3 linked regions of the Macaca fascicularis genome follow. The protein of the gene in region 1 purifies or fractionates together with the protein of each later gene. This does not show direct contact. Links are inferred from orthologs where the notes say so. Each region holds a gene or a part of one and is shown in the gene's direction. Other genes may lie near its edges.

Evidence for each region. The genes of interacting proteins can lie anywhere in the genome.
Region 2: the proteins of SINHCAF (region 1) and ARID4B purify together in Homo sapiens (affinity purification with mass spectrometry; 3 studies listed by BioGRID and IntAct, counting the BioPlex papers as one, with this or other methods). This does not show direct contact. The link is inferred for Macaca fascicularis from reciprocal best matches to the Homo sapiens genes SINHCAF and ARID4B.
Region 3: the proteins of SINHCAF (region 1) and ING2 purify together in Homo sapiens (affinity purification with mass spectrometry; 3 studies listed by BioGRID and IntAct, counting the BioPlex papers as one, with this or other methods). This does not show direct contact. The link is inferred for Macaca fascicularis from reciprocal best matches to the Homo sapiens genes SINHCAF and ING2.

The regions. Positions count from the first base shown.
Region 1 is NC_088385.1:33,857,277-33,860,787, reverse strand, and holds part of SINHCAF (SIN3-HDAC complex-associated factor), read left to right. Parts: intron 1-927; coding exon 928-1,054; intron 1,055-3,511. UniProt on the Homo sapiens protein: Subunit of the Sin3 deacetylase complex (Sin3/HDAC), this subunit is important for the repression of genes encoding components of the TGF-beta signaling pathway.
Region 2 is NC_088375.1:13,791,577-13,795,675, forward strand, and holds the start of ARID4B (AT-rich interactive domain-containing protein 4B), read left to right. Parts: upstream 1-1,294; 5' UTR 1,295-1,694; intron 1,695-2,493; 5' UTR 2,494-2,542; coding exon 2,543-2,548; intron 2,549-4,099. UniProt on the Homo sapiens protein: Acts as a transcriptional repressor. May function in the assembly and/or enzymatic activity of the Sin3A corepressor complex or in mediating interactions between the complex and other regulatory complexes.
Region 3 is NC_088379.1:188,295,841-188,299,845, forward strand, and holds the start of ING2 (inhibitor of growth protein 2), read left to right. Parts: upstream 1-1,200; 5' UTR 1,201-1,357; coding exon 1,358-1,529; intron 1,530-2,378; exon of another isoform or gene 2,379-3,174; coding exon of another isoform or gene 3,175-3,181; intron 3,182-4,005. UniProt on the Homo sapiens protein: Seems to be involved in p53/TP53 activation and p53/TP53-dependent apoptotic pathways, probably by enhancing acetylation of p53/TP53. Component of a mSin3A-like corepressor complex, which is probably involved in deacetylation of nucleosomal histones.

The DNA.
Region 1 (3,511 bases):
AATTTGAATTTTGCTTTTACCACTACTAGTTGTGGACTTTGGGCAGGTTACATTTATTTATGAAGTGCAAAGATAATAGCTCTGTTACAGAGCAGCTGTGAGAACTGGATGAGATGATATGTAGAAGGTATAACACATAGTTATCATTCACACTAGCCTTACATTGTCCTTTGATAACAGTGTTATGCTATTATAATAGGTCATGATTTTGAAGATGGTAACAACGTTCCTTTTTACATGGGGTAGAAATCTGCAACTAATAAATGTGAATGAATACCTAAGAAACAGGGCCATATGGGGCGAGATCAATGGCTGGGCTAGACTGTGGGAGAACATGCTATTGCTGTCATATAACTCACCTCAGAGATTAAGGTGTGTAGTGAAAAAAGCATAAAGACCTGAAGACCTTGATTCCAGTCTTTTCCCCTCTCCACCCCTCTTAACCCATTTACTTGCTTGGTAAAATAAGGCAAAATGCATAATTTCTCTTTGCCTTGTTTTCCTTCCGTCTAAAATTGGAGTAACAAAAATAGCCCTGTTTATTGCTTTGTATTGAAGATAAAAAGTATTTGAAAGCTTTTCATAAACTGCAAAACATTATCCTGTAGAAATGGAGTTGTTTTTAGGTTTGATTCTTAACCTAGTTGGGTCATCCAGTAACGATTATCCCATATACAAATCTATTTAAATTTTTTTCCAACAGACTCCCACTATTACCCACTTCACAGGAAAGAGTATCTTAAAAAACCCCACTAGATAAATATTATTTATTCCCTTATGTCATGTGATGATTAAAGGTGCACATGGAGGAGTTTCACCCTCTTTTCAGTGTAAAACTGTGGTTCTCAAATAGGCACGGATCTGAACCAAAGGGATACACTAGTATCATTTTAAAAATATTATTAAATATTCAGTATTTTCTTCCAGGTGGTAGATGCAAGGGCTGGACCCAGTCTAAAGACTACATTGAAACCAAAGAAAGTGAAAACTCTATCTGGGAACAGGATAAAAAGCAACCAGATCAGTAAACTGCAGAAGGAATTTAAACGTCATAGTAAGTTTGATATTACAACATTAGTACTTAATAATTGTTCTGTTATTTTTGGCTGGGGGTGGTGTATGGCATGTGTGGATCATTTTTTCCTTTATTGCTTTTCATAAAGAGCACTGGAAGGCAATATTGACTTGGTAGAGATGTTACCTTATTTCTGTGAAATCTTAGCACTCTTTCTGATGATGATGTCTTGAGAGTATTTCTACTAGCTAACCACTTCAGATTGTACTGAGACCACTCTGATGTCTTTACTGACATCTTAATTTTCTAGGAGGTGCATTTCTAGCTCGTTTACTTGATTTTTATCCATAAGGAAATTGAGTCCTGCAGATGTGCAAGAAGGTACGTAAATAATTAGGGGACAATCTGAGACCAAAGCTCAGGTTTTCTGGAAAGTAACTTTAGAAATCATAACTCACATTTTGAAATACAGCCAACCTCAGGGCTTGCTTTCAGGTTTAAGGGGCAGTGTGTTGTGTTGATAGAGTAAGAAAGGAATGTCTAATGTCAGGTCACATGCTGTTATTGGAAGTTTTGGGGGATTGCTGTAGTGGCACGTCTGTATTTTGGAATTTAGATTTTAGATTTTGAAAAGGAAATACACTGCATATAATGTTATTGTCTAATAAATATCTCTATTACCCTTGGGGTTTGAAGGAGCATTATTGAACCAAACACATTAGTATTTTTACAGCAAAAAGTAGCAGTATTCACATTTAGTGGAATAAATAGATGGTACATAGGCTAGTCAGGTTTGTTTGCTTATAATCATAGTGTAGGTCATGTCAGATTTTGTGGCCAGATAGGTTAGGAATACACTTTGTGTTTCCAGAGCTTTCCCAGAATTGCCGCTAGGGGTTGTGGACCTGTATTGTAGCTCTCAGTACTTATAAAAATCTATAGGGCCCTGTTAGAGAAAACATTATCAATCAAGACAAATGGTTATCATGCTTATTTTAGAATAATGGAAAAAGACATTTAAGTTTAGTGACAGTAAAGTGAGGAGTGCAGGAGAACTCACATTTTTTGAGCATTTTGGTATACTAAGCACTTTACGTATGTAATGATCTCACTTATTTCCATTTTAGAGCTCAGAATAGGAAGCACGAAGGGGTGATTTAACCTTGATCTGGGCCACTTAATAAGTGGTAGAGATGTAGTAATATATTTAGGTAATATAAATGTGTATATGTATTTTAATTATACATTTCCCTTTCCTAACCAGCTCTCAACCCCGCATCTCCCTAAAGATTTAACACTACCTTCCTTTCTCACTAGATGTTTTGTTTTATTTATTTATTTATTTATTTATTTATTTATTTATTTGAAACAGGGTCTTGCTCTATCACCCAGGCTGGAGTACAGTGGTGTGATCTTGGATCACTGCAGCCTCCGTCTCTCGGGTACAAGCAATTTTTGTGCATAAGCCTCCCGAGTAGCTGGGACTACAGACATGCGCCACCGTGCCTGGCTAATTTTTTGTATTTTTAGTAGAGCTGGGGTTTTGCCATGTTGCCCAGGCTGGTCTCAAACTTAGCTCAAGCAATCCACCCACCTCGGCTTCCCAAAAGTGCTAGGATTACATGCATGAACCATCATACCCGGTCCTCACTAGATGTTTTAATGAACATTTGGGAAACACTAATTTTCTTTTATCACTTGAAGGCGGAGGAACTGATTATTCATATGTATATTCTTAGCCCTTTCCCTTAATTATAGGGAAAGTGATATCTCACTTTTGCCTTACTTAAGGGAATATATTCAGTGCAATTTTAGATTTTTATTGTGAAACTGTGCTGTGTAGTAGTTGGAGACTGAAAATAAATTCCTTTTATAATAAGGTGTGTGGATTGTGGAGGCTCAAACTGAAACAAGGTGTTCACCAGGTACATTATAAATTGCTAGCACCTTTGTGCATTGAAGCAGTTGGGAGACATGTGCATTTTTATATATCACCCACTAAAGGGTCTGCGCTTCTGGTTATGTGTTTGCTTCTGTGCATCCTGCACATACCTGGCCTGTATTCTCTTATCTTTCGTTCTTTTTTTTTTTGAGATGGAGTCTTATTCTGTCACCCAGGCTGGAGTGCAGTGCCGCTATCTCAGCTCATGGCACTATCTCAGCTCACTGCAACTTCTGCCTCCTGGGTTCAAGTGATTGTCCTGCCTCAGCCTCCTGAGTAGCTGGGATTACAGGCACCTGCCACCATGCCCAGCTAATTTTTGTATTTTTAGTAGGTACAGGGTTTTGCCATGTTGGCCATGCTGGTCTTGACCTCCTGACCTCAGGTGATCTGCCCTGCTTGGCCTCCCAAAGTCCTGGGATTACAGGCCTGAGCCACCTTGCCCAGCCCTGTATTCTCTTTTCGAGACATTTTGTGGTGTACTGGAAAGGCATTGGACCTAGAGTTACAGATCTGGATTTGAATTTTGGCTCTTCTCACTAGCAGATGTGTGA
Region 2 (4,099 bases), on another chromosome or scaffold:
ACATTCTCCTATCACCGCGGAACTCTCCTCTGGGGCACTGCCACTGCGGTAATTTCACATTGTTTTGTTCAGCATCTGTCCATCTCGCCAGGCGCAGGTCTACGAAGGCAGAGGCCACCCCAGTGGTCGGCGCTCAGCAGCCATGAAAAAAAGAAAGCGCCTTCTAACGCGTTGGACGATGAAACCAGGGCAACAACCTTGCGTCTAAAAAGCGAACATCCCATGCAAACGACTTATCTTTTCAAAAGGAAGGGCCTGGTTTGAGAATGGCTAAACAGAGACATACAAATGTGAAGCGCACCCTGAATCCTTCCACTCATACTCCGGGAGAAAGACGATGGATCTCAAAGAGCCTGATATAAGCAGGGAATTTCTATCACTTCGAGGCCGATTTTCCACAGCGGCTGGGCAGAGAACTGCAAACGTCTACAGTGCTAGCACAGAGTCCGGAGGGAGAGAAACCGTGAGGTTTCTGCTTCCTCCTCGCTCAGATGCTCCCTTCCGCCGCATTTGGCCAACCCTTCCTCCTCCTCCCCGCTTAAAGCTAGGGGATGGAAAATTCATACACAATCCGGTTCAGCATCCGGGTCCTCACTCTCCTTTCTTTCTTTCCTCTCTGCCCCGCCTCCCAGCCTCCCCCTCCCTCCTTCCCATCCGGGTTCCCCCCAGCCGCCGCCACTGCTGCTCACAGTTCAACGATGATATCACGACTTTCACGCCGCCGGTCCGGCAGTAGCTGTATCCCGCATTAACCTCCTATTTTATAGTGTGGGCTTAGGCTCTTCCCGATGCCTACATGAATCCCTCCCACTACTTCACCACACAACTCTCCGCCCTCCTCAGCCGCCAGCGACACCGCATTACTCGGTGCAAGAAAATGCGCCATCCCGGTCACACTGCGCAGGCGTCGTTGCCACCTCCCTACTGCTTTGTTGCCCCGCCCCTTTCACCCCTCCTCCTCTCCGGTCCACGCTGGCGCAGGGCATTGCGGGCCTTGCAGTTCTCGCGGACGAGGATTTGCGCGTTGGCCCCAGAGGCTGGACTTCATTTCCCAGGAAGCCTTGAGGCGTAACTCTCTGTTTCCATAGAACTGGTGGGAAAATGGCGTCGTTGTTTGTATCCAGCGACCAATAGGAACAGTGTATAGGCGGGTTCTAAAGAATTTTAACCAATCCAAGGTTGTCTAAGAGGCCATCCGGGAAAGAGGTAGGGGAGGGGGAAAAAATCTAGGGGAGGGGAGAAAGGAAGGGGGGGGACCTAGAGTCGGGGTGGGGGGAAGCGATGTTTGCCCGTCAGTCGAGTCCGGAGTGAGGAGCTCGGTCGCCGGAGCGGAGGGAGAGTCTTGAGCTTCAGCTTGCCGCCGCCACGGCCACCGCCTGGACCTTTGCCCGGAGGGAGCTGCAGAGGGTCCATCGCCGCCGTCCTCTGGAGGGCAGCGCGTTTGGGGGCCCGGACCTCCAGTCCGGGAGGGATTTTTCGTCGTCCCCCTCCCCCCAACCAGGGAGCCCGAGCGGCCGCCAAACAAAGGTACCAGTCGCCGCCGCGGGAGGAGGAGGAGCCGGAGCCTCTGCCTCAGCAGCCGCTGGACCCGCCGCCCTTCTTCCCCATCTCTCCCCCAGGCCTACTGGTTTTGGGGGGGAGGAGGAGAGAGGGAACTCTGGACGTGCCAGGGTCAGATCTCGCCTCCGAGGAAGGTAGGGACATTTTCTGGGGCTTTCGTGGTCTCCTAAAGGGGTTCTTTTGGGAGTCGCTGGGCCCGACCGAGGAGCAGAGGAAGATCGCGGTGGTGGTCCCTGCGGCACCCGAATTCGGGGCCTCGGCCTTCCGGGAGCCCCCACCCCCCGCAGCCGCTGTGTCCGAGCCGCCCCCTGGCTGGGCGGCCGCACACTCAGCGGTTTAGCGGCCGCGGTCGGGGGCCCGGGCAGGGTGGGGGCCGTTCCGCCTCCGGGGCCCTCGGCCCTCACGTTGTCCCTGCGGCGAGGCCAGATGTTGATCCCGCTCCCACTTGTCGGGTCTGCGCCCGGAACGGGACGTGGGCAGGGGCTCTGCAGCGGGCCGGTCCAGCCCGCGGCCCACAGGCCCTCCTGGGCCCTCGGTGGCCCCCGGCGGGCCTCCACCTCGGACGCGGCGCATGGGGGCGCGGACTCGCTCGGCCGGGCGCTGAGGCCCGCGGGGAGAGCGGCCGGCCCCACGCCGGACGCCGGGCTTGTTGTGAGTTTCTTCTCTGACAGAAATGGCGTCATTGTCGTAGACGGGAAACTCCGTCGGGTCTCGACAATGGGGACGGGAAGCTGCCGAGCTGTGTAGGTGGCTGGGTTTGCGGGGATGGCGGGGCCAGAGGGAGCCCCGAGTCGGCGTGTGATGGTTCGGGGGCTGGCGCCTGGTGCGGCTCTTTCTTCGGGGTTCGGGCGTCGCTCGGTTCCTTCCCTCCGCCTCCGCCAGTGCAGAGGGGTGCCTGTGGTGTTGACTGGGTGTCTTTTGTTTCCCCTCCAGGTGCAGGTGAACCCGGTGTTTTAAAGAATATCTCGGTCCCAGAGTCATCATGAAGGTAAGATTGCCTGCAGAATACGAATCTCTGGGGTTATCGAATTCAGGAAGTAGGGGGTTTGGACGAGGTCGTCGTGTGGGGCTTCCGAGTTTTGCAGAGGAAGGTGTGTTTGGTGGCTTGGTGACCGAGCCCTTCCCCAGAGAGACCGGGGTCAGCTGGCGGGCTTTGCTGTGGAGTTGGAGGCAGTTACAGGATATCTCAACTGAAGATGATTCTCCCATATTGAACCCCTCTTTTTGTAGGGAATGAGAGGAATAACGGCATGAATTAAAGTGTTTTAAAAGGTAAAATAAAAAGCAGGTCAGGTAATCTGACCCTGGAAACTGAACTGTATTGTGGTTCTATCAGTTACACTGATGAAAGAAAATCTTATCTATTGTGTGAACAGTACTGTAAAATTTTAGCAGAAAACTCTTTGATTCGTCACAAACATAATTTAATTGAAAGATTTAAAAAGATAATTTTGGTGATCTTTACACAGTTCAGAGATACCAATTGTTTCTTGTATTTCCAGGCACTTGGGGTTATGTGGTTTATTTTTCTTTATCGATCTGGTTGGTCTGCAAATAAGTCAGAGGCTCTGTTGCATTATGATGTGTGGAAAACTGATGGCCAGGTTCCTCTTAGACGTAAACATGTTAACTGAGTGGAGAATAGGGTCAAAAAATTTGCTTAATTGTTGGAAGAAATGATAACCATAAAAATACAGTTTTTTTGGTCACGAGAGAATATGTATATGAATGCTGTCTTTTTTGTTTTAAACACATGCTGGAATGAAACCTTAGATTTTTGAAAAGTCTAGATTCAACTGGTGGAACTTAGACACTAGCTTGTATTTTTTCATCCATTACAAATTCAAAAGTGCTTGAAAAGGGTAGAGTGTTCACAAGTGTAGAAATGCAACAGATAGCATGTTAGAATATCAACGTTATCTACTTTTGACAGTTTCTTTGAACTATTTTAAAAAAATTTCACTTGTCCTCAGAATCAAGACGACTTGGACAGTACTGCATCCAAATTAAAATTTGTAATACCTGTGGTTGCAGAAGGTAAAAGCTGTGGCTACTTAAATTTTGGTCTACTATACAGAGTAATTAAGTGTAGTCTAATTTTTTTTAAGGTTTTCTCTTTGAGTTTGGGATGCTGTAAACTACCTGAAACAGTTTATTCCTATCTCATTTTCACGTAAAAGAAAACAGCATCGACATGTTTCAGGAATGAATCCCTTTTGTTAGTCACAAATCCTAGCTATAACTCTCGTGACCTGTGTAAAACAGTGAAAAGTGCATTTATTAGGTCACTCATATATGTACCTTGATGTTGGGTGAGAATTTCTTAAGAAAAGTTTTGGTTTGAATAATAATAAGTTCAGAAGCTGAATAAATAAAAGGTTTAGTTTGGAGTAAATGTAATCTGTCACAGTTCCCAGTGTTGTAGTGCCTGTCACTTCTTAGGTGCCCTATAAATGTTTGGTTAAAAGAAATGTAGTTAGGTTGAAAGTCTTTGAGATTAAAATTTTTTTTTTCTTCCTTTCGTTTCCTTTTTTTAAAA
Region 3 (4,005 bases), on another chromosome or scaffold:
TTACGGGGCCGAGGGCCCGCCCGCTGACTAGGTTTTTACTCGCGTCTGCATGCCCCAGGTCCCCTCCGATTGTAGTCCTGGGGCAGGACCAAGCAAAAAGTCCCGTAAAGCTGGCGTGTGCCCCACTCCGCCAGGAAGCCCCGCCGACGTCCTGTGTTTAAATGTTCTGACACACCCCAAACGCAGTTGTTTTTAAAGGCTGTCTGTGGGACCTATGTGTTGGCAGGCAGATGCCGTCCCGCATCCCTTCCCCCTAAATGACATAGAAGATTCCAGCGCAGGGGAAGGGCCACGAAACCCGCAGGGCACACGACGCCGGGGGCCGGAGGAAGCACCGCCTACCTCCCCGATCAGCCCCACGGTGCCGGACGAGCCCGAGGGCCCGGCAGGAGGAGGGCGGCAGCCCCAGGCGAGCTCGGAGGCGGCGGGAACGCCTTGCCGCGCATGCCGGGAGCCGCCCGCCGCCTGCCGCCCGCTGCCCGCCGGGACGCGCAGTCCTGCAGGCCTCGCTCCGGGTCGTCCGAAAAAAAGGAACCGCCTGCTGCTCCTTTGCAGGGGCGCGAGGAGCCGCACTCGGACCGCCGGATGGGTAAAAAGCCGGTGTGGCCGGGCGGAGCTGCCCCTCCCCGCGGGGAGGGCGGCCGGAAGGACCGAGCCGCCTCCCCTGCCGGGTCCCATTCAGACGCGGGGCGCAGAGACTGGCTCCCCAGGCTTCCCCTTTAAGGGGGGCGGGGCGCGGCCTGCCGTTTGGCCGCCCCCGACACCCTCCCCCCCTAGCCCGGAGCCGGCAGACCAATCGCCCGGGCGGCAAAGCGAAGGCGGGAGAATGCGAACCCTCCGGTAGGCGGTAGGGGCGGGCCCCGGCCTTATTGGGATCGAGCGCTGCGCAGGCGCAGAGGCGGCCGCGGGCGGAGGGGCGGGGGCAGGCCAGCGGGAGGCTCCCCGTCAGGCACGGAGGGTGACTGGGGACAGGCAGGCGGCGACGGGCTTGTCATGGGGATCCGGGCTGCGAGACGGCACTGGTAGCATCTGGGGACTCCGAGGGGGACAGGAAGTGTCAGCGTCCGGGACCCCGGCGCCGGCCCCGCTGAGGGGATCCCCACTGCTCCGGTCCTGGAGCGGGAGGGGAGAAAGGAGGGAGCCCCAGTTTCGCCCCGCCCCTGGGCTGGTGCTGCGGGGGCGGGGAGTGAGGGCTGCTCTGGGGGGAGTGGAGATCGGGGAGCGCGGCCGTGCCCTCTCGAGCGGCTGCGGGGTCCCCGCGGCGCCGGGCTGCTGAGCTGAGGGACCGCGGCGGCCGCGGCCGGTGCATGTGCGGCTGCTGGATGCGGAGGCGGCGGCGACGGCGCGCATCGGCAGGATGTTAGGGCAGCAGCAGCAGCAACTGTACTCGTCGGCCGCGCTCCTGACCGGGGAGCGGAGCCGGCTGCTCACCTGCTACGTGCAGGACTACCTTGAGTGCGTGGAGTCGCTGCCCCACGACATGCAGAGGAACGTGTCTGTGCTGCGAGAGCTGGACAACAAATATCAAGGTAGGGGCCGCGGGGCTGCCGGCCTCGGGAGCCGGTGGCAGGGAGCCTGCCGGGGCAGTGCCACCTTCCCTTTCTCCCGTGACAGTCTCCCCGAGCCCACCGAGGGTCTGCCGAGCGGGACGGGGAGGACTGGAGACTGGGTTCGCGGCCCTCCTTGCCCCGCGGTGGGCGAGTACTTCTCTGGGGTCCCCGGAGTGGGGGTGGGGGCTGTTCGTCAGCCCCCGCTGCAGACCCAGCGGCTGCAGCTGCCGCGGAGGGGAATCAGCCATTTTAAGCAGCAAGCATTTGTTCAGGCGCTCGCCTGCCCCGTGCCGCAGACCCTGCCGCCCCGGCCCAGGACTGCAGCCGGGCAAGGGCCAGAGGGAGTGAGCGGCCGGGCTCCCGCTGGTCTGCGGGGCGCACTTCCCCACCTCACTCGCCCCCACCCCGGAGTGCGGGTGCTTTGGAACGTGCGGGAGGGAGGGGGCGAGAGGCCGCGGAGGCAGATTGAGGGGGCCTTCCTCCGCGCTCCTACCCCGGCCGGGAGGAGAGCAGTCCGTTCCGCTCTTTTGCCCCGGGAAAGTTCTCGGCCGCCCCGAGCCGCAGCCCTAGCCCAGCTCTTTCGGCAAAATGGTTAAGAGGGGAGGGGTCCCCCGCGGGAGAGGAAGAGAGGGGCGTGTGTGGCGGGGAGGGCCCCCGCGCCGGGGGCGGGGCCTGCGGGTGTGACGTGGGAGTGGGAGGGGCGCGGCGCGCGTTCCCGCGGGCCTGGAAAATGGCTGGTTGCGAGAGGGGCGGCGGCGAGCCGGCTGCTGGGGAGGGAGTCGAGGCTGTGCGAGGGCGTTGGTTCGGCCCCAGCGGAGTCCGAGTCGGGGTTTGCAGCATGTTTTGCGGTGATGTTTCCAATCTCTTTCCCAACCAATGGATCAGGACGGAGATTAGCAGCTCAGAGGGTCTCGGACCCTGGCTCCGCGTAGGTTCCGGGACATGTGTCACTTCCGGGCTTCAGGAGGAAGTGGGTTGGTTGACTGGGCAACCGCCTGGCGTCCCCAAGCCCCTCCTTCTCCGACTTTTAAGTGTTAAGGCGAAACCACCCTTTACGGGCCGACCCGGGAAGCCGGGACAGAATCCGACCTTCCTTACAGTGTTATCACCTACTATCGGTGGTGCTACTAGGAGGGCAGTTTAAAAGGGGAAATGTGTTGCGCTTAATAACCTTGAATCGAGGAACAGACCTTGAACATAGTATGGAAACAGCCATATGAACTTTAAAGATAATTTCCTGGACCCATTCTCTGTTTTTGTTAACACGTCAGTAATCCTGTAGTTTAAAAGTCTCTAAAGGAATCCACTTCTTGGGTGACATAAGTGTCTCTGATTTTTTTTAGTTGATAAATTTGTGTTTTCTGAATCCATGGGATTCATAGGACTGATCCGCGTTTGGGGGAGGGGTGGGGGGGAGGGAATTCAAACTGATGCGCTGAGTCCAGACCATTATATAAATATTTCTTTTACAGATTAGAAAGAGTTTAAGTAACTCGTCCAGTTAATTAGATGTAGAATATTTGGCTCCAGCTCCTGCAACTTTAGATGCATATCCTTGTTTTCAAACAATTTAAATTTTAATAAAAACTGTCCAAGGGGATTTCTGCAGATATGGAGCACAAACATGAATGGTAACCTAAAAATGATACGTGCTTAATAATTGTATATTGAACCTTTCTAGTTTTTCAAATAACACTAAAGTTTGTAAAGTTTGCAGTTGCTGTTGTTGTTGTTGTTGCTTCAGACAGAGTCTTGCTCTGTCCCCTAGGCTGGAGTACAGTGGCTGGATCTTGGCTCACTACAACCTCTGCCTCCCGGGTTCAAACGATTCTCCTGCCTCAGCCTCCCGAGTAGCTGGGATTACAGGCACCTGCCATCACGCCCCTCTAAGTTTTGTATTTTTAGTAGATACGGAGTTTCACTATGTTGGCCAGGCTGGTCTTGAACTCCTGACCTCAGGTGATCCGCCCGCCTCTGCCCCACAAAGTGCTGGGATTACAGGCGTGAGCCACCGCACCCAGCAAGCTTGCAGGTTTTTACATTTCTTTGAAGACACGTTTCCTTTCACAAGAGTTAAGCTATTTGAAGTTGGTAAGGGATACTATAATTTGTTGACAGGGAAATCTGCTTTCGGATCATCTATAATTGTGATGTATTAATAGCTCTGGTAAGATTAGTAATATAGTAGGCCTTACAGGACTAAGAGATTATAAAAATTCTTAGCTCCATGAAGATTGTGATCAATGATTAAAAACTCATCCAGTTTTCACTCTTTGCGCATGGTTACTGAGCTCAACTTTCAGTTTTATGTTTATATATATTTTGTGTTTTGGGTTCAGATTTCATGTTTTTTATTTCTTCACTAGTGCTTAAGTCTTTTCTGGTTTTGGATCTAATATTTCTAGCAATATTTAGTGATATAAATCATATAGGCAGTCAAATAAATTTCTCTCTC